Oryctolagus cuniculus: one gene and its partner. The protein of the gene in region 2 purifies or fractionates together with the protein of the main gene of each other region. This does not show direct contact. Links are inferred from orthologs where the notes say so. Each region holds a gene or a part of one and is shown on either strand. Other genes may lie near its edges.

What was found. The genes of interacting proteins can lie anywhere in the genome.
Region 1: the proteins of SNW1 (region 2) and CCNT1 purify together in Homo sapiens (affinity purification with western blotting; 3 studies listed by BioGRID and IntAct, with this or other methods). This does not show direct contact. The link is inferred for Oryctolagus cuniculus from reciprocal best matches to the Homo sapiens genes SNW1 and CCNT1.

What each region holds. Positions count from the first base shown.
Region 1 is NC_091442.1:52,209,927-52,220,559, reverse strand, and holds the start of CCNT1 (cyclin-T1), read left to right. Parts: upstream 1-5,162; 5' UTR 5,163-5,299; coding exon 5,300-5,460; intron 5,461-7,056; coding exon 7,057-7,138; intron 7,139-10,633. UniProt on the Homo sapiens protein: Regulatory subunit of the cyclin-dependent kinase pair (CDK9/cyclin-T1) complex, also called positive transcription elongation factor B (P-TEFb), which facilitates the transition from abortive to productive elongation by phosphorylating the CTD (C-terminal domain) of the large subunit of RNA polymerase II (RNA Pol II).
Region 2 is NC_091451.1:23,448,196-23,458,838, reverse strand, and holds the start of SNW1 (SNW domain-containing protein 1), read left to right. Parts: upstream 1-5,534; 5' UTR 5,535-5,648; coding exon 5,649-5,662; intron 5,663-9,740; exon of another isoform or gene 9,741-9,867; intron 9,868-10,643. UniProt on the Homo sapiens protein: Involved in pre-mRNA splicing as component of the spliceosome. As a component of the minor spliceosome, involved in the splicing of U12-type introns in pre-mRNAs.

The DNA.
Region 1 (10,633 bases), on a different chromosome or scaffold from region 2:
TGAACCAGTGGATGAAAGATTTATCTCTCTTTGTAACTGTTTCAAATAAATAAGTAAATCTTAAAAAAAAAATCCACTGTACTCTATTGTCAAATATAACCACAGTTAACTCAGGAATCTAACAAAACTTGGTGTGTGCATTTGGCCCAGTGGTTAAAATGCCTGTGTCCCACACTGAAGTACCTGAGCTCAATACCTGGCTCTAGCTCCTAATTCCAGCTTCCTGGTAATGAAGACCTTGGGTGGCAGCAGTGATAGCTTAAGCAACTGGGTCTCTGCCACTAACATGGGAGTCCTAGTTTGCAATCCCGATTCCTAGCTTTGGTCCCTACTCAGCCCCAGTCATTGTGTGCATTTGAGGAATTGCCCAGTGATGAAACTGTCTGTCTCTATGCCTCTCAAAGAAAATGAAAAAAAAAAAAAAAAAAAAAAAAAGTTGGCAAGCCTCAAAGCATTTTGCAAGAAATTAGCTCGCTACTGGAAATTTATGATAAAAGATTATAAATTTTATGTTTTATAAATTGTGGTCTACACATCCTTTATATTAGATTTTAAAATGAACGTAGATGCATATATATATATAATTTTTAATGGACAATTAATAAGTTACCAACACATACAAATACCATAGCTGATTTTAAAGATTTACTTATTTGAAAGGCAGAGTTACAGAGAGGGAAGGGGAGAGAGCACAAGAAAGATCTTCATCCATTGGTTTAATTCCTTAAATGGCTACAACAGCCAGGGCTAGGCCAGGCTGAAGCCAGCAATCTAGAACACTGTCCAGGTCTCCCACATAGATGCAAGGGCCTAAGCACTTGGGCCATCTTCTGCTGCTTTCCCAGGCACATTAGCAGGGAGCTGGATTGGAAGCAGAGCAGATGAGACTTTAAATGGTGTCCATATGGAATACCAGCATCACAGGCAGCGGCTTTACTCACTGTGCAACAATGCTGGCCCCACCACAGTGCTGTTGATTTTAAACTATCATGGAATTGAGGAATGTTGCCAATAGCCCCATCCTTTCATATTTTAAATGGAGACTATATGAATGTTGAGTAGAAATGGTAATGTTTGACATGATTAAAAGATGACATATGCATAGTGCAAAATAAGATGAGAGTGACAGGGAGAGAGGGAGAGGTAAAGGAGGGAGAGACAGACACACACAGATCTCCTACCTGCTAGTTCATTCCCCAATGCCTGCAACAACCAGGACGGGGCCTGGCTAAAGTCAAGACCCAGGATCACCATCTGGGTCTCCTGGGAGGCAGGGACCCAAGTACTTGGGCCATCATCTATGGCTTTCTCAGGTGCATGAGCAGGAAGCTGGATTGGAAGGAGAGGAGCCATGACTGGAACAGACATTCCAATATGCACGTGGGCAGCTTAACTCACTGTACCACAATGCCTGTATCCTACTGACATTTTTTTTAAAAAAGGAAAATTCCTGTGACTTAAGATTTGTCAGTGGTTCTTTAAGGGCACTGTATCTGAAGGCTAATGTTATGTTTACAACATAACTTGCATTGAATACCTAATATGTGCTGGATGGTATTCTATCAGAATGCAGAGATATCATTCAACATCACACCAAAAGAAAAGCTGGCATCTTTGAGGACTTTATACTAAATGAAATAAGCCAATCACGGGCGACAAATACTCTATATACACGTATCTGAGGCATCTGAAGTTGTCAGCACCACAGAAACAGGAAGTAGAATGATGGCTGCCAGGGGCTAGAAGGGAAAATGGGAGTTGTTCAATGTGTACAGTTTCAGTAGTGCATGATGAAAACGTTCTTGAGGTCTGCTGTACAACAATGTGAATAAAGTTGATGCCACTAAATTGCACAATTAAAATTGTTAAGATGGTTGGCGGGCGGGGAGTGCGGGAGAGTGGGAAGAATAGTTGGGATGTGAATACAGGCCTGTCTCACAAACTCATATTTAGCATTATGTTATCATTGTTTCCTACTTGAAATAATTACATCTTGAGACAAAAGAATATGTCTTTTCTTTGACAGGCTCCCTGTCCTGTATGGGAGGGTAGCAAGCCATGGGCAGCAGCTGCATTGCCTGGAGCCTGACAGGTACCAGAACTTTTTCCTGGAAGAATGGCATGCTCAGTAGAAATGGCAAATTCAATACGGAGTCATTAATCCAAGAGGTTAAGTGGAGAATCAAACACAGGTCAAAGAAATAGGCAAGAAGAATCCTGGGGAAATAGTTTTGGCTGTTTAAGAAACAATACATGACTCCATGACTGAAAAAATGCTTAGTCTATTAAAAGAAAAAAGTCTGTGATAGAAGAAGTTTAAAATCAAATGCTCTTTTAGCTTATAACCTGAAGTGAATTATTATGGGCAGTATACAGCAGAGCAGGGCCTCAAATGGAACGAAACACTTCTGAGAATGAATTAGAATCAAATGTTAGAAATGATGAAACCCAAAATATAAAAGCAAAACAAAGGATTCTATTCTAAAATTTTATCTAAAGCTGTGCAAACTTAAGGTAAATTGAGTATGGGTCCAGAAAAGCAGGAAGGCAGCTTGTCAGAATGCAAAGAATAATTTGTTTTTAAGATCTACACTTAGAGGACCGCTGCTGTGGTGCAGTGGGTTAAAGCCCCAGCCTGCAGTGCCGACATCCCATAAAGGTGCCGATTCAAGTCCTGGATGCTCTGCTTCTGATCCAGCTCTCTGCTGTGGCCTGGGAAAGCAGTGGAAGATGGCTCAAGTCCTTGGGTCCCTGCACCCACATGGGAGACCTCAGCTCTGGTCATTAATGTCATTTGGGGAATGAGCCAGAGGATGGAGACCCCCTCCTCGGCTCTACCTCTCTGTAACTTTGCCTTTCAAATAAAATAAATTAAAAAAAAAAAAAAAAGCTACACTTAGGGGCTGGCATTTTGGTATGGCAGGTTAGCTGCTGCTTGAGGCTGGCTTTTTTTTTTTTTTTTTTTTTTTTAAAGATTTATTTATTTGAAAGGCAGAGTTACAGAGAGGCAGAGAGAGAAAAGTCTTCCATCCATGGGTTCATTCCCCAAATTGCCACAACAGATGGAGCTGAGCTGATCCGAAGCCAGGAGCCAGGAGCTTCCTCCATGTCTCCCACACGGGTGCAGGGACCCAAGGACTTGGGCCAACTTCTACTGCTTTCACAGGCCATAGCAGAGAGCTGGATCGGAAGTGGTGGAGGAGCCGGGATTCGAACCAGCGCCCATATGGGATGTTGGCACTGCAGGCGGCAGTTTTACCCTCTACATCTCAGCACCAGCCACTGACATTCTGGTTGCTTAGCCTCTGATGCAGCTTCCTCTCTATCACCACCTTTCAAATAAATAAATAAGTAAATAAATCTTTAAAAAAAAGTCTACAAGTATTAGCAGTATAATGTAAGGCAAGCTCCTTGATATTCCACCAGCTTGTTTGTATACTCCAGGGTGTCACGGACGTTTATTTGCTGATGGTCTGAGTATCTTCTAAGGGCCAGGGCTGTACTACTCAGGAGCCGGAGGGACAGAAATGAAAGCACTGTCCCTGCATTTGCTCTCGCCTACTATGCAACGTAATGAGACCTACAGACCATTTCAAGTACGAGTGCAAACTTAAATTCTCATTTACTGGCCGGCGCCGCGGCTCACTAGGCTAATCCTCCGCCTTGCGGCACCAGCACACCGGGTTCTAGTCCCGGTCGGGGAGCCGGATTCTGTCCTGGTTGCCCCTCTTCCAGGCCAGCTCTCTGAGGTGCCCAGGGAGTGCAGTGGAGGATGGCCCAGGTGCTTGGGCCCTGCACCCCATGGGAGACCAGGAAAAGCACCTGGCTCCTGGCTCCTGCCATCGGATCAGCGCGGTGCGCCGGCCGTGGCGGCCATTGGAGGGTGAACCAACGGCAAAGGAAGACCTTTCTCTCTCTCTCTCTCACTGTCCACTCTGCCTGTCAAAAAAAAAAAAAAAAAAATTCTCATTTACTGCCGTTCACAACCTGATACTTAAAACGTAGGTACTAACAATTGCATATTTTAAGAGTCAGAAATGAGGCATCTTGCCCAGCATCAAGACGTCGGAGCCACTTCACCACGAGACAGGAAGGCCCAAGTTTGCGCCCATGGCGGGTGGTGGTGGGAGCCTCCCGCCTCGAGGGGTGCCGCTTGAAACCTTCTGCACACGGGAATTAAATATTACTAAGAATGACGATGACGAAGGCATACGGTACACGGAGACGTCAGCATCGTGCTCGGGACCTGCAAGCACTGAGTGAGTGCTGCTAACTTCACGCTACACCTTCCCGGGGCACCACTGCTCCTGTTCTCACGGGTTTGGGCTACTTATTAGGAGGGGGATGTTCAAACGAGTGGCAGTGCTCGGCACCCACCAGCAATATTAAAAAAAGCCCGCCTCAGGCCGGCCGCGGCTCACTAGGCTAATCCTCCGCCTTGCGGCGCCGGCACCCCGGGTTCTAGTCCTGGTCAGGGTGCTGGATTCTGTCCCTGTTACTCCTCTTCCAGGCCAGCTCTCTGCTGTGGCCCGGGAGTGCAGTGGAGGATGGCCCAAGTGCTTGGGCCCTGCACCCCATGGGAGACCAGAAGTACCTGGCTCCTGCCATCGGATCAGCGCGGTGCGCCGGCCATTGGAGGGTAAACCAACAGCAAAGGAAGACCTTTCTCTCTGTCTCTCTGTCTCACTATCCACTCTGCCTGTCAAAAAAAAAAAAAAAGCCCGCCTCTGCTGGCTTTACATCTCCGCGGTACGATAGCGGCTACGCTCTTCGCTTCTCACCTATTCTACAAAGCTCTGCCACCGTCCCATTTTACGTCGCCACTTCAGCCAGGAGCAAAGTTCTCGTAGGACCCACCAAGCGGCACGTGGCCGTGAGCCGCCACCATAATAGTCCCAGGAACTGCCTCGCAGCACCCCCCTCCCCCCCGCAAACAACCATCGCGAGCTCAGTTCTCGCGGGAAGAGACGCGGTTTTTAAACGTAAACGTATGACTCCGCCCTACTCGGCGCGTGGGGTGGGGGTGGGGTCACGTGACCGGCGCCTGCGCCCTCTCTTCAAGGTCTTTCCTGGCGGTACGCAAGCTGCACAGCCGGCTACGGAGCGTCGCGAGGGCCATTCCGGAAGTGGGCGCTCAGACTTCCGCTTCGTCGGCGGAAGCGTGTCACAAAGCCGGCCGTCGAATCCTAGCGGAAACTCGTCACGTCGCAGTTGCCCCCGCACGGCGGATGTGTGTCGCCGCGTAGGTGACGCTGGGAAGTGCTCGCAGCCTCTGCTGCTGCCTTCTGGTTGTAGCACTATGGAGGGAGAGAGGAAGAACAGCAACAAGCGGTGGTATTTTACTCGAGAACAGCTGGAGAACAGCCCATCCCGCCGGTGTGGCCTGGACCCCGATAAGGAACTTTCTTATCGCCAGCAGGCGGCCAATCTGCTTCAGGACATGGGTCAACGTCTTTTCGTGTATCCTTGCGGCCTAGGCCTTCGGGCCTGGGAGTCGGTGCCGGCCGGGCTCGGGGCGGGGACGGGAGGTGGGCAGGAGCCGGAGCGCTAGGTGAGCGAGCGCGCCGCGGGGCGGGTTGAAAGTCGGGGTTGGCGCCAGGGCAGCGAGGCGGAGTTCGTTTCCCGCTTGCTCACCCTTGCCGGGAATGCAGGCCCTTCCCGGCTTTGTGTTTCCACCGGTTCTCGTGGTCTGCCGGCTGCCTTTGAGCTTGTTCTTTCCCTTACGCCCTCGGGGTCTGGTGGAGGGTTCACTGTTGACGCCTGTCCCCCTTAAACTCGGCGTGTTAGCGATTCAGTACCCGAAAGCCTTGCACAGGTGGCTTAGAATTCGTGTCCAAGCAGTGGTTCCGAATCTGTGACTCCCGCGTGCTGATTTAACTTGGTCAGAGGCTTCCTCCGTCCTGGCCCGCCTCGGTTCCGTGTCCACCACGGTGCTTGGGGGCCAGACGTCGAAGGGGGCGCTGTTAGAAGTTCTGAGGAAGGAAAAGATGGCAGATTAGGTGTGTAGGGGATGCGTAGAGCTGTGGATCTCATGTTTCCCACCGTTTGCGAGATTCTGGGTGCTTAACGCTACGCCGAGTTTGAGTGTGTATTCGTTCCTTTCGTAATTCAAAATTGAGCGAATTCCGTGCTTTGTTTTTCCGCCCGAATGTATTTGCTTGTCGGAAGACGTTTGTTTTGCGTCGGAGGGAAGAATGTCGTTTTCAAGCTGCTTCTGTCGTGGGCTGAAAACTTTTTTCTGAAGTGCAGCTTCCATGTAATTGGTCGTGTTTGTGGGGGTGCGCCCAGTCTGAAATGCAGGGGTTGCCCTCTGTTGCCAGCCTGTTTTCCGTATCAAATTTGTTTCCTAAGCATCTGATCTGTACAGAGCTAAATCATGTTGTCTGAGATCCGGTTTTCAGTGTATCCTTGAAACTTTTTATATGTGTGTTATTCACCTTGTTGCTAAGTGACATTTCTGTATCTCATGTTGTTTGGGACGGCCTTAAGATGTAAGACATGAAAACAGTTTTATTTTCAGCGAATGAATATCAGGCCTTTTGAAAAATGGTAGTCCCAGGGGTTGCTCTGTGACCAGAGAGAGGTGGAACTGTAAACTTAATTGCTGGGGTGTAGAAGCTGAGGGAGATAGTGGTGACATATTCCCCAGGGCTATGGCTGCATCAGGGAGGACCTTGTAAATGATGATTAAAGAGATACCCCGAGCTAATGCATCATCTTTGCAGGGTGTTCAGAAGGTGAGTGAAAGCATTTAAGAGCTCATTACATAGTTTTGTTTATAAGCCATATTGAGCCACACAGCCCGAGAAACTTAGTAATTCGGTGAATTTGTAGTGAGTACTTGTGTAAGTAAATGTGGAAGGCATTGTGGTCAGTGCCAGTTGGCAGTTAATAATTTGGCGGAGGAGAATGGGCTGCTTTCTGATTTGGAGAGGTAAGTAGGTTTTCCTTTAAGGGCATCTATCATGCTTGGTCTTCTGGTCTTTCTGGAAGGGGCCAGATGTTATGTTTTCTGGAAGTATCCTGCTTGTTTTTGCCTTCACTGGAGCACTTCAGCTCGCAACTGACCATCAACACCGCTATAGTATATGTGCATCGATTCTACATGATCCAATCCTTCACTCAGTTTCATCGAAATGTGAGTATGACTTTTCTTATGTGGTGTTCGCTTCGTGAGTCTTCTACATACCTGTTTCTTCAGGTTGGTCTTTGCCACTGAGCTGGGATTTGAACTTGAGAACTCTGCTGCTCACTTTCATTCTGTGTCACACTGTTGCTATGAATACAGCTTTCCCATTTTCCTATGAAATGTAGTTTTCTGCACCCTTACAGTAGGTAGGTTCTCTAGTAATGAAATAGATTATCAAACGTGTAAAGATGTTTTTGTGGGGGATGGCATTAAAGTGGAAATCATATTTCAGTAGAGCGTTCAAAGTGGCAAAATAATGTCACAGGAAAGCAAATGAATATAAGTAATTTAGATTTTCACAAGCCTTTTACAAAACTCCAATCAATGCCCAGAGGATCTGGAATGTACAAAATGTGGTAATGCCTCGAGAAATGAATTTTAAGAACAGAACAAAGAAGATGTTAGCAGTAAAAGACCTTTTTTTCCCTCCTGGACAGATTGTAAATTATGCTACTTTCAGTTTTGCTAACTGAAATGGTCCTATTTAAGATTATTATAAGTAGCTTGGAAGTGAATGCATAGTGGTAGTCCACTAAGGCTGTATTTGTTTTGAAAACATTCCAAGGTAATGGTGATAAGCTTGAGGAACACTTTATATGGTTTGCTCATCAGAGATTTCATTATTTTGTAAAAAGAAAAAGGTTATGCTTTTGAATAAATTTGTTTTAGGCTTTACTTTGGGATGATGGTTTTGAGCTTTTTTTTTTTAAGCTCTTGGAAGAGAGTTTGTGAAGCTAGATATAGCTCCTGTAAAGTAAGAAATGGGCAGAATCCAGGGGCTGATGTTGTGATGTAGCAGGTAAAGCTTCCGCCTGCAGTGCCGGCATCCCATATGGACGCCAGTTCTAGTCCCTTCTGCTCTACTTCCTATCCAGCTCTCTGCTATGGCCTGGGATAGCAGCGGAAGATGACCCAAGTCCTTGGGCCCCTGCACCTGCGTGAGAGACCTGGAGCAAGCTCCTGGCTCCTGGCTTCGGATCAGCCTTGCTCTGGCTGTTGCAGCCATTTGGGGAGTAAACAAGAGGATGGAAGACCTCTCTCTCTGCCTTCCGAATAAATAAATATATAAAAAAAAAAAATTGGTAGAATCCAGATTGGGACACCCTTTGGTGTGATTAGGAATTCTTGACTGTCTCTGATTATTCAGCCAGCTTGACTTTCTTCTGTTTTTGGCCCTGATACCTACTCTGATTGTAAAGAATACACCATTGTTATTGGGAGAGAATCGTTCTGTCTGACAGCACCAGATGGGATATTGTGAAACTGAAGAGGAACTTCATAGCTGCCTTCCTAACTTGAAGATTTTCTATGGCTTTTCCCTTTTATTATGATAAAAATAGACGATTTGGGGATAAATAAATCAGTTTATTTATTTGAAAGGCAGAGTTACAGAGAGGCAGAGGCAAAGAGAAACAGAGATCTTCCATCTCCTGGTTTGCTCTCCAAATGGCTGGAAGAGCCTGAGCTGGGCTGATCTGAAGCCAGGAGGTAGGAGCTGCTTCTGGGTCTTCCACGTGGGTACAGGGTCCCAAGGACTTTGGCCATCCTCTACTGCTTTCTCAGGCCATAGCAGAGAGCTGGATCGGAAGTGGAGAAGCTGGGACTGGAACCAATGTCCATATGGGATGCTGGCACTACAAGCGGTGGCTTTACCCGCTACGCGACAGCATCAACCCCACAAGTGGCATCTTAACCACTGTGCCAAATGCCTGCTCCTTGAATTGTGTCTTTTCTTATTTCCTATATAGTAAGTTCAGCAAGGACAGAGTTTCTATGTATTCTCCAAAGCACCTTCAGTAAACTTGTTAATGAATGATCTGGCAGTTCTCCCATAATGGGTTATCTTTCAGCTGTCATGACTGTTTCCAGAATCCAGTAGTTACTTTGGGGTTGTTGGTCCTCTTTAAAATCCTGATTTTTAAAGAAAAATTTTATAGGTGGGTGTTGGACAGAGTAGTAACATGTTGCTTAGAACACCCATATCCCATATCACAGTGACTGGGATTGAGTCCTAGGTCCACTTGTAGTCCCGGCTTTCTCTTAATGTGATCCCTGGAGGTAGTAGGTAATTGAGTCCCTACTGCCCACGTGGGAGACCCTGTTGTGGGTATTTGGGGAATGAAACTGTGGATGGAATGTTTGTCTCTGTTTCTCTCTGCTTTTCAAATAAATGGAAGGAAATGAAGTTTAAAAAGTGGGGCTGGTGTTATATCCCAGCAGGTTAAGCTGCCACTTAAGGCATTGGCATTCCTTATTGAAGTGCTTGTTGGAGTTCTGATTGCCTTGCCTCCGATCCAGTTCCCTGCTAATATGCCTGGGAAAGCAGCAAACCAAAGTCCTTGGGCCCATGCAGCCCACGTAGGAGACCTGGGTGGAGTTTTGGGTTCTTGGCATCATTCGTCCTGGCCTAGCCCTGGCCTTTGTGGCCCTTTAGGGAGTGAGCTAGTGGATGGAAGATCATGCTGTGTCTTTCTCTGTCTCTCTCTCTCTCTTTCTGTTGCTTTATGTTTTAAATGAATAAATAAATTTTTAAAAGCTGTCAAATTTATTCATTTATTTATTTTTAAGATTAAAAAAAATTTTTTTTTTGAATGGCAGAGTTATAGATTGGGTGGGGTGGCAGTGGTGGAGAGAGATGTTTTCCATCTACTGGTTCACTTTCTAGATGGCTGCCAACGACTGGGGCTGGGTCAGGCCAAAGCCAGGAACCTGGAATTCCAACCAGGTCACCCAAATGGTGGCTGGACCTGAACACTTTGCATGTCTTCTGCTGGTTTCTCAGGTGCATTAGCAGGAGCTGGATCAGAAGTGGAACAGCCCAGACATGAACCAGCTCTTCTTGTGGGATGCTGGCATCACAGGCAGTGGTCTAACTCATTATGCTACAACACTGTCCCTTACCTTCCTTACCTTTCTTATTGTTTTAAAAGGTTTACTTTTTTATTTGAAAGGCAGAGTTACGGAGAGAGAGAGGGAGAGATAGAGAGAGGTCTTCCATTCACAGATTTATTCCCCAAATGGCTGCAATAGCCAAGGCTGGGCCAGGCCAAAGCCAGGAGCCAGGAGCTTCTTCCAGGTTTCCCTGGAAGGGGAAGGGCCCAAGGATTTGCGTCATCTTTGGCTGCTTTCCCAGGTGCATTATTGGTGAGCTAGATCAGAAATGGAGTAGCCAGGACATGAACCGGCATCCATATGGGATACCAGGCGCCACAGGCAGAGGCTTAACCTACTATGCCACAGCCCCGGCCCCTTAATTTAAATTCTTATAGGTGGAATTGCTTTGACCAAAGGTATGAGAGTGTAAAATTTTTGTTGTGTCAATTTGCCCCACTGAAAGATCAACATTGTTTCTATGTGTAAGGTTCCTTTTTTCTATACCTTGACAACAAATATTCATCATTCTAAGAACTACTAAGTACTAACTATTGTCAAGTACAAGTGATA
Region 2 (10,643 bases):
TTCTTATAATTGTATCTATGAACTACATGAAATCTGTTCCCTTTATATGAATAAAAATAAGTTAAGAAAAAAAATAGAGGAGCTGGGACTCAAACTGGTGGAATGCTGGTGTCACCAGTGGTGGTGCAACCCACTGAGCCACAGTGCCAGCTCCCAAATACACTTATCTTTTAATTTCATTTCCTCACAAACTTTTTAAAACATCTTCACGTATTAGACAGCTTTTGATTACTACCACTTAATATCCAAGACAAGCTATTTACAAAGGAGACTATCTCAGCTCATGGTTTTGAAGGGGACCCCCAACTGGTTAATCCATTAATTGTTAACATTAATCCATTAGCCATGAATGTAAGACTTTGGGAACCAAGCCTTTACCACATAGGCTTTGGGGAATCACCCAAACTAATATCCAAACCGTAAACACATGGATGGAATTCCTCCTTTTTTTTTAAAGATTTATTTATTTATTATTTATGTTAAAGTTTTTTTTTATTTATTGAAAGGCAGAGTTGCACAGAGAGAGGAGAGGCTGAGAGAGAGAGAGAGAGAGAGAGAGAGAAAGAAAGAATTCTCCATCTGCTGGTTCACTCCCCAATTGGCTGCAATGGCTGGAGCTGTGCCGATCTGAAGCCAGGAACCAGGAGCTTCTTCCAGGTCTCCCAAGCAGGTGCAGAGGCCCAGGCACTTGGGCCATCTTCCACTGCTTTCCCAGGCCATAGCAGAGATCTGGATCGGAAGTGGAGCAGCTGTGACGCGAACCAGTGTTCATATGGGATGCCAGCACTGCAGGCGGTGGCTTTACCTGCTACACACAGCATCGGGCCCCTTCCTGCCTCTCTAGAACATGAGCTACTGACCTCAACTACTGAACTTCAAAGTCCAGAGTTTGACCAACACCTGGAGAGCTCAGGCAGTGGCAGGGCTGTGCCCTGTCACTGGCTTCTCCACATGGAAAGAGCTCAGGCTGCACAGGCCAAAACCAGTGCCACCTCCCAGCATGCAGGGACCTCACGTGTCCACTGCGGAGGTCAAGCCAGCCGCCTGAGGCTGCTCATAGAAAGGTATGCTTCAAACTTTAATTACACTCTGCTTTCCACGCAAAGTGAGCAATTGGACTTGAATAATTTTGGAACTCATTCAGTGTGTGGTTAATGTGCCTCGTTTACGGAGTGTATTCCCTGGGAGGTTTGCTCACATTATTCTCCCCCTCCTTAGGCACTGTGAACCTAAGAAAAGTTCAGCGAACTGTGTGATTTGTGAAATCCTACTTTGATCAGCTCCTTACATGCACCACATGCAATAGAATGTTATTTGGAACATACCCCAGAAATAAAATCGACTTCAATTGCTTCACTTAGAGATGCAAAATGGGAAGCTCAAGAAGCTTAATAAACTGTGTTCAAGTCAATTAAATTAAAGCCAGAAAATCATAATTATTTTTTGAGTGCTCACTCTATCTTGGACGTTGTTCTAAAGCACCATACATGATTAACTCAACTAATCCAACAAATTTATGAGAATAGGTTAAATGTTTTCTCACTTAAAAAAAAGAATTTTATTTATTTTACTTATTTGAGACAGTGAAAATGACAGAAAACACCTCATCTGCTGGTTTACTCCTCAAATGCCCAAAACAGCCAGGGCTAGGCCAGGCTGAAGTCAAGAACCCGGAACTCCACCTGGGTCTCCCATTGGGTGGCAGGAACCCAAGTGCTTGGGCCATCACCTGCTACCTCCTAGGTGCATTAGCAGGGATCTGGTACAAGAAGCACAGAGCAGCCAGGACTTGAGCCAGGCACTCCGATATGGAATGCAGGTGTTCCCCGTGGTAGCCTAACCCACTGCATCACAATACCCAGCAACACCTTGACTGCTAGGCCAAACACCCACCTCAGCCCCCTGCCTCCCATTTCTGGGTTGTTTTTCTTGCCAGTGAGAAAACTGATACAGATTATGGGACTTGCCCAGGATCTACAACTTGTCCATGAGGGAGCCAAGATGGGAACTCAGGAAAGCTGACTTCAGAATCTCTGTCTAACTGCTCCACCCTACCACCCATGTGCTGTTACCTGTGGCTGCACAGTTACAGCTAGCTGGAAATCAAGTTAGGCCCCAGGTTCTCTGAGAACCAACTCCAGCTGCTCTCTGGATAGCCAAGACAAAGTGAATTGATTGCTTCTTGCAACCTGGGCCTGCATGAGCCTATTTTGAGCCAGCAAGCACAATTACCTGTGATAATGAGGGCTGGAAGGGCAAGAAAGATCCAGCTGAACACCAAGCCCCTCTCCAGCACAAAACCAAACAAAGCAGGGGCCCTGGGGTACAATATCATAGCACTTTGGCAGCAGATGTGTTTCCTTAATTATGCTGTGCTAAGATTGCATTTGAGTCAGTCACATTTCTCTACACTCCCAAGAACAGCGAGGGACCACGACTGATGGGAACGCCTTGCACAGTCGCCTCTGTGGAAAACGAGCATGGATTGGGAGAACTCTTCTCCCCTGCTTTCTTTCAGTCCTATACCCCAGATCTTGGTCCACGGATCGCTGATTTCCCACGTTAATTACTTTACCCTTGTCCTCAGTGGCCTACCTTGTCTCTCATTGCCATAGAAACCTACTCCTCCTTAAGAATCCTCTTTCTTGCCTGTTTCTTAAGTCCTTGTTCAGTTTCAAGTCAGCTGCTAAATTAAATCCAAGCTCCTTGACCTTGGCTTCCAGGACCTCCTCTAATCTGTTCCTCTTTTATTCTCTGTTTAGCAATAATACATTCTGGGAGCAGAGGTTACAGCAGATCACTGCCAACTCAAACACGAACTGTAAGAAGTAATAAATTTATGTAAAACTTTTGCAGTTGAGTAAAAACACAAAATACACCCACCTCTATCACTTACACCTCCCAGTCACTAGTTTTATAGTATATATGGAACATGAATGGTATTTTATGTTTAATGAAACTGGGGCCCAAAAATATTGCTCATGGTAGTAACACTGCTTATGGGTGGTGAAGCTGCAGTTTAAATCCATACTACAGCTTAGTTCCACCTTAACGGAAGGGAACGTTAGCCTGAATGAATCCATTTTGATCAGTTGGGACTGTTGTGTTTTTCTTTAAGATTTATTTACTTATTTGAAAGCAGGGTTACAGAAAGATAGAAGGCGAGACAGAAAGAGATCTCCCATTCACTGGTTTACTCCCCACATGGCTGCAATGGCTGGAGCTGGGCCAATCCAAAGCCAGGAGCCAGAAGCTTCCTTTGGGTTTCCCACATGACTGCAGGGGCCCAAGGACTTGGGCCACCTTCTGCAGCTTTCCCTGGTACATTAGTAGGGAGCTGGATCAGAAGAGGAGCAGCTGGGTCTCAAACAGGTGCCCATATGGAATGCCAGTGCCACAGCGCCACCCCCTGTTGGGAATATTAAATAAAATGTAGAGTAGGCTATTGCTTTGGATTTAGCTCCTGTACTAGGTTCAAAAAACCAAAATAGAGTTACTCATGCTGAAACTTCACATCATCATTCATTTATCTGAGAGATCAAGAGATAATAGTCAAATCCTCACGCAACGAGGCCGGCCCCGTGGCGCAGTAGGTTAATCCTCCGCCTGCAACGCCAGCTTCCCAAATGGGTGCTGGTTCTAGTCCTGGCTGCTACACTTCTGATCCAGCTCTCTGCTATGGCCTGGGAAAGCAGCAGAAGATGGCCCAAGTGCTTGGGCCCCTGCACCTGCGTAGGAGACCCAGAAGAAGTTCCTGGCTCTTGGCTTCGGATCAGCGCAGCTCCGGCCATTGTGGCCATTTGGGGAGCAAACCAGCAGATGGAAGACCTTTCTCTCTGTCTCTCCCTCTGTCTGTAACTCTGTCTCTCAAATAAATAAATAAAATATTTTTAAAAAATCCTCACACAGCTTTAGCCAGCAGAAAGAAGCACAGGGACGTCCCTCTGTTTAACTTTCACAGGGAGAGTAACTATGATGCAACCAATGCACTTTTTGTTCCCCCTTTCTGCTTTCTTCAGCCCCTTTTTTGTCTAGAAAGCCAGCTTCTTCTGAACTGCTCATCAGAACACTCATTTTACTTTATGGAATGAAGTGTTGCCAGATTTTAGAATCAAAACTAAAAGCTGGGGCTGGCGCTGTGGCATAGCGGGTAAAACCGCCACCTGTAGTGCCGGCATTCCATATAGTCTCCAGTTCGAGTCTGGCTGCTCCACTTCCAATCCAGCTCTCTGCTATGGCCTGAGAAAGCGGTGGAAAATGGCTCAAGTCCTTGGGCCCCTGCATCTGCGTGGAAGACTGGGAAGAAGATCCTAGTTCCTGGCTTTGGATCTGCGCAGCTGCAGCCATTGCGGCCAACTGGGGAGTGAACCAGTGGATGGAAGACCTCTCTTTCTCTGCCTCTGCCTCTCTGTAACTCTGCCTTTTAAATAAATAAAACCTTAAAAAAAAAACTAAAAGCTAATCAAAACTAAAAGCTAATTAAATCTTTTTTTGAAAAAATAATCTATTTTTTATTTGAAAGGCAGAATTACAGAGAGAGATGGAAAGACAGAGAGGGAGGTCTTCCACCTGCTGGTTTACTCCCCAAATGGCCATAACAGCTGGGGCTGGGCCGATCCAAAGCCAGGAGCTTCTTCTAGGTCTCCCACGTAGGTGCAGAGTCCCAAGCACTTGGGCCAAACTCCGCTGCTTTCCCAGGTGCATTAGCAGGGAGCTGGATTGGAAATGGAGCAGCTGGGACTTGAACCGGCATTGCCTGTACTGCAGGTGGCAGCTTAACCCACTATGCCACAGTGCTGAACCCTGATTAGATCTTCAAACTAAATCTGTCACAGTTTTGACTTTTGACAGGTCTTTGTTCAGAAGCTCAGTCCAAATGAATGGCCTCCTATAAATCTTACTGAATATATTAAATCATATATATATAATGTATGTAGGTATATACATATATATTTATACACATAAGGAATATTCTCAAAGTGACTTGCTAAAGAACACAAAAATACAGTGGGTCTTCAAGAGGTTCATGGAAAATGTATATTATTATAAAAAAAACTGTCTAAATTTCAATTTTTTTTGGTGCATAAAATAACTATATTTTAATTCCCTTTTTTTCTACCAACGGTTTGAACTATCCCAGTTAAATCCCCAGGAGTGTTTGGGGAAGAAAGGGTACTGGTTCAAGAACAGTTTTCTGATTGTGAATGTTCTCAGAGCGTCCAAGAACGCTCCGGTCTCACGATTTCCTACCGTTTCAGAAACCCCATTGTCCTCCACTCAACTTGCTTCGGGCAGCCTCTTATACTTAGACACCTCTTCTAGGTGAATGGGTCTGAGCGGGGGAATAAAATAAAGGCGTTTAAAATGCCTCTCCCCCCACCCTCGTTATTTAGCCAAGGAAATGTCCTGTCATGTGACAGTAAACGAGTAATCAAGTTAGCCATTTACTCTTGACTTCAGGGGCCGTCCTGTAAAACCCCACGGGTCAGAAGAGACCCGAATTGTACTCACGTTTAAACAACTACAAGTCCCAGAAGGCTTTTCGGCGGCGGCGCCTGCGCATCGCGGGTTCTGCCCTCTTCGCTCCTGGTTGCCGGGAAAGACCCGCCCCGCGGCGCTGTCGCTCGCGTTAGAAGAAGCGGAAGAAGATGGCGCTCACCAGGTGGGTTGTTGATTTGGGTCCTTGATACGGAAGGGTCTGGTAGTGCCCCTCTTTTTCATGTCTCTGCCCCGTCGTCTCCAGCCAGGGATCTGGCTTAGGACACAGGAAGAAGAGAGCCGAGAGCTTGGCGAGGGCCTCCCGCCGGTCGCCGCGGCGGCTAGGCCTCCCCGACGCTGGGGTCTTTCCTGAGCGGCCTTGGGTTGAATTCGGCCCCTGGGCAAGGCCGAAACCCTCGGCGGGACCGCAGAAGCTGGAGAGCGGCACGTGTTTTCCGCTGAAGCCCCTTGCGGGTGTGTGGAGCGCGCGCCCTGGGGTCGGCGGCTCCGCGGGACGCGATGGCACCGTGGGGAGCGGGGCTTGCCTACGCGGGCGGAGGGAAGCGCGCGGGACGCGACTGCGCGACGCTCCGGCCGTTGTTCGCTTCTGGCTCTCTCCTTTTCTCTATCCACTCTGTCGCCCCGAACAAAGCTTCCCGAAAAGGGGGATCCGGAACTGATCGGGGAGTCTTCAGTTAGCCACAGTGGGGGCCGCTGTGTCCCCATAGGCGCCAGCGCTCCGCACTTTTAACTTTGAACCTTAGAATTTCTTCGGTGAAATCGAACCACCTTGGAGCGCTGCTGTGCCCGGTTGCCTTGGTAACCAAAGGCCAAGCGCTCCCTTCCTTTAGGAGAAAAAGATGCTCTAAGCGGGAGCTTCCGAGAAGTTACATAATTCCCTATGCGTGACCTGGCTGCCCGGTCTAAGTAGGCAAACTTTCCCCGCGAACTCATCTGGAAAAGTCGAGTGTGAAAAAATGGGCTGCAAAGGAAGCTGTCATTTTAGGGCGTGAGCTTGAGCTCCCTGACCATGCTTGGTTCTCCTCAAGCGTCTTCAGCCAGGCCGATGACACTGAATTTAAAAAAAAAAATTTACGCGACCATTCTTTTGGGAATGACGTTGAGTGCCTTGCTGTATTCAGGCGTTACGTATCCAGGAGATCTGTCTTTAGCTGCAACGCAGATGGGGCCCAAGGCATACAACTATCAAAGTGCTCATTTACATAGATGATAGTCTTAGTGCAAAAAGCAATTAGATGAAGAGAACTGCGTGGATCAAAGAGTTTGCTTTAGAAACTGTTACAGGTAGGTGCGAGGCATTGTGACATAGACAAGTAGGGTCAAGAGAAAAAGTTAGAATTTGAAGTGGATATGCAGGGAAAATACCAGGGATGTTGAGGGTATTGTGTGCTTAAAATCGCAATGGCAGAATGCAGTCTTTAAGTGGCCAGTCTTAGCAACTGTGTTGCTTTTCATATGCTATTTGTATACTTTTAATGTCCTCTATAATAAATCGGTAAACGTTTCCCTGAGTTTTGTGAGCTGGCCTAGCCAGTTGAACTCAAGGAGGGAGTTGTGGAACCCCAGTTTATACCTCGTGGGTGAGGAGTATACCCTGAGCACACTTGAAATTGGTATCTGAAGTGTGGCAGTCTTGCAAGACAGCCCTCAGGATCTGTCAGAATTGAATTGAATTGGACATTACCTGAATGTCTGGAAACTCCCCCCACATCTGGTGTCAGAAGTGTTGGGTGTGTTGTATTGGTTGATGAGTGAGAAACTTTTTCCTATACTTTTGCATTCCTATCTGTGCAGAGCTTGCCTTCTGGTTATATGAGTGAAACAAATCAATAATGCCATTTCAGGTACCAGGTACTGGGAAGACAGTAAAGGGTTGGAGGGTGACTCCAAGTTTGGAATCAAGTGGCTTTTTTGGACAAGGTGGTCACAACTTTAGGAAGGTGTAATTAGTTGAGCAAAGAGATGCGCTGCTAAATGCAGGCTGCTAAAAAGTTGGGGAAGAGTTTGCTGTAAAGGAAAATTGCTTTTAGTAAGTAAATAGACTATGTCATGGTAGAAGGAATAGCAAAGGTAAAGCTCCTGCAATGTCTTTTTAGGGAAAGATGACACGACTGTAGGGACATCAGGATGATGAGTGCGAAGTATCGAGTGAGCTATTTTCTATCTTTAAGGAGCCCCTGTTAGCTGGACAGTTACTGGGAAGTTGGGATGAAAGAAGTTAAATCCGTGGGCCCTGCCTCAAAGTTTGTGATGGTGCTGTGTGAGGATAGATGACTGCACTGCAGTGAGGTGGATATTTCTAGTGATGAAACACAGAGATACACAGAAAGTCTTTTTTTTTTGCCAGGCAGAGATAGAGTGAGAGAGAGACAGAGTTATAGACAGTGAGTGAGAGAGAGAGTTATAGACAGTGAGAGAGACAGAGAGAAAGGTCTTCCTTCCATTGGTTCACCCCCAAATGGCTGCTATGGCCGGCGCATCGCGCTGATCCGAAGCCAGGAGCCAGGTGCTTCCTCCTGGTCTCCCATGCGGGTGCAGGGCCCAAGCACTTGCGACATCCTCCACTGCCTTTCCGGGCCACAGCAGAGAACTGGACTGGAAGAGGAGCAACCGGGACAGAATCCGGCTCCCCAGCTGGGACTAGAACCTGGTGTGCTAGCGCCGCAGACGCAGGATTAGCCTAGTGAGCTGTGGTGCCGGCACACAGAAAGTCTTATGGGAACAGAGGTAGAGATAGCTAACCCAGACTGAAGAAATCATGCAACAGACAGGATGCCAGCTGGTTCAGGAATTTTTTCATTTAATACTTATAAGGTTGATAACTTTCATGATCTATCTTTATAGATGAGAGAACAGATTTAGAAAGTTGAGTAACTTACCCAGATTAGTAAGTGGCATAGGTAAGGATTTGAACATTGAGCTCATAGCGATCACACCTGATTCCCCAGATTGCATTAGATCCTCTGATGTGTGCTGTCTCAGTACTGTCTTCTTCCCTCATCACTTAATGTATCACAGTTATGGATTTTTGTGATTATATGATTGTCTTTCTCCCCTGAAAGACTATAAGCTGTTTATGCTCTCATTGCCTGCATAGCGTAGTGCCTGCACCCCAGTGATCAATAAATATTTTTTTAAAGATTTATTTATTTATTTGAAAGAGTTACAGAGAGAGGTCTTCCATCCGCTGGTTCACTCCCCCGTTGGCTGCAGCGGCTGGATCTGTGCCAATCTAAAGCCAGGAACTTCTTCCAGGTCTCCCACGTGGGTGCAGGGGCCCAAGGGCTTTAGCCATCTTCCACTGCCTTCCCAGGCCATAGCAGAGAGCTGGATCGGAAGTGGAGCAGCCAGGACTTGAACCCGTGCCCATGTGGGATGCTGGCACCATAGGTGGCAGCCTTATCTGCTACACCACAGTGCTGGCCCTCAATAAATATTTTTTTTTAAATTTATTTATTCATTTGAAAGACAGAGTGATGTGATCTTCCAACTACTGATACAGTCCTCGAATGTTCCCAACAGCAGTTCAGGGCCAGACCAAAGCCAGGAGGCAAGAACTCCATTCTAGTCTCCCACATGGGTGGCGGCGGTCCAAGCATTTGGGCCATTTTCTGCTGCTTTCCCAGGAGCATTAGCAGGATGTTGGATCAGAAACCCAGTAGTGGGCCGGCACTGTGGCTCACTTGGTTAATCCTCCGCCTGCGGCGCCAGCATCCCATATGGGCACCGGGTTCTAGTCCTGGTTGCTCCTCTTCCAGTCCAGCGCTCTGCTGCGGCCCGGGAAGGCAGTGGAGGATGGCCCAAGTCCTTGGGTCCTGCACCCGCATGGGAGACCAAGAGGAAGCACCTGGCTCCTGGCTTTGGATAGGCACAGCGCTGGCTGTAGCAGCCATTTAGGGAGTGAACCAACGGAAGGAAGACCTTTCTCTCTGTCTCTCTCACTGTCTATAACTCTACCTGTCAAATAAATTAAAAAAAAAAAAAAAAGTAGCTTTGGATCACCAGTCCGGTATGAAATGCCATCATTGTAAAGTGGGGGTTTAACCTGCTACTCTGGCTGGCCCAAGTAAATATTTTTGAATATATATGAAGAAGTGCTACTAAACAAGTATGCTTTCTAGTCAAAAATCAGAAAGGAACCTGAATTATTTCTCCCATTAAATCTATTATTGATCCTCTTGAATGCTTTGTTGGTACTTTGGGGTACAATATAATACAATATTTAAAAGTTGGTAAGAATACCAGCACTTTCACAGTTCCTCCCTAGGAAGTGGGGCCAGGATTTCGTAGCTGGTGCTGGAAGAAAACCCTTAATTGCATCTTTGCCCTGGAATTTACCAGTGGCAGGTGACACTCAAGGGAACAGCATCATTCTGGAATCTTACTCAACATTGTTTTTTCTCCTGTTGCTCTAACTTGAGACCCTCTCCCTTCATTTGCCATAAGAATAAAACACATTTTTTAAAAGTTGGTAAGAATGATATAGTAGAAAGGTTACTCTGATTCTTACACCTCTTCAGTTTTAAATTCCATTGTAAACTAGATACCTTGAGGAAAAGGTACTTAGATATGCAACTTGTGTTTCTTGTATTCGCCTCTTTGTTACCTTCCATTTTAATCCTTGTTCTTTTGTATCCACACTAAAATTGTCAAGGCACTAGTTAGAAATAATTATAAGAAGGTTACTTAGATGCCATGTACTGTACAGTTGTCAGCGGGGTAATTAGAGTGTTTACCTGCTTGTTGTTGGAAATGTGGAGGCAGGAGCTGTGGTACAGTGAGTTAAGCGGCTTTCTGTAATGCTAGCATCCCATATGGGTGCTGGTTCAAGTCCTGGCTACTTCACTTCAGATCTAGCTCCCTGCAGTACACCTGGGACCGCAGTGGAAGAAGGTCCAAGTCCTTGGCCCCCTGCACCCATGTGGGAGACCTGGAAGAAACTCTTTGCTCTTGACTCCTGGCTTTGGATTGGCCCAGCCCCAGCTGTTGTGGCTATTTGGGGAAGGAACCAGTGGATTAAAGATATTTCTCTCTGTCTCTCCTCTCTCTGTAACTCTGCCTTTTTTTCTTTGTCTCTCTTCTTCTCCCTCTCCCTCCCCCTCCCTCCCTCCTTCCTTCCCTCTCCCCCTCACTCTCTCTCTCTC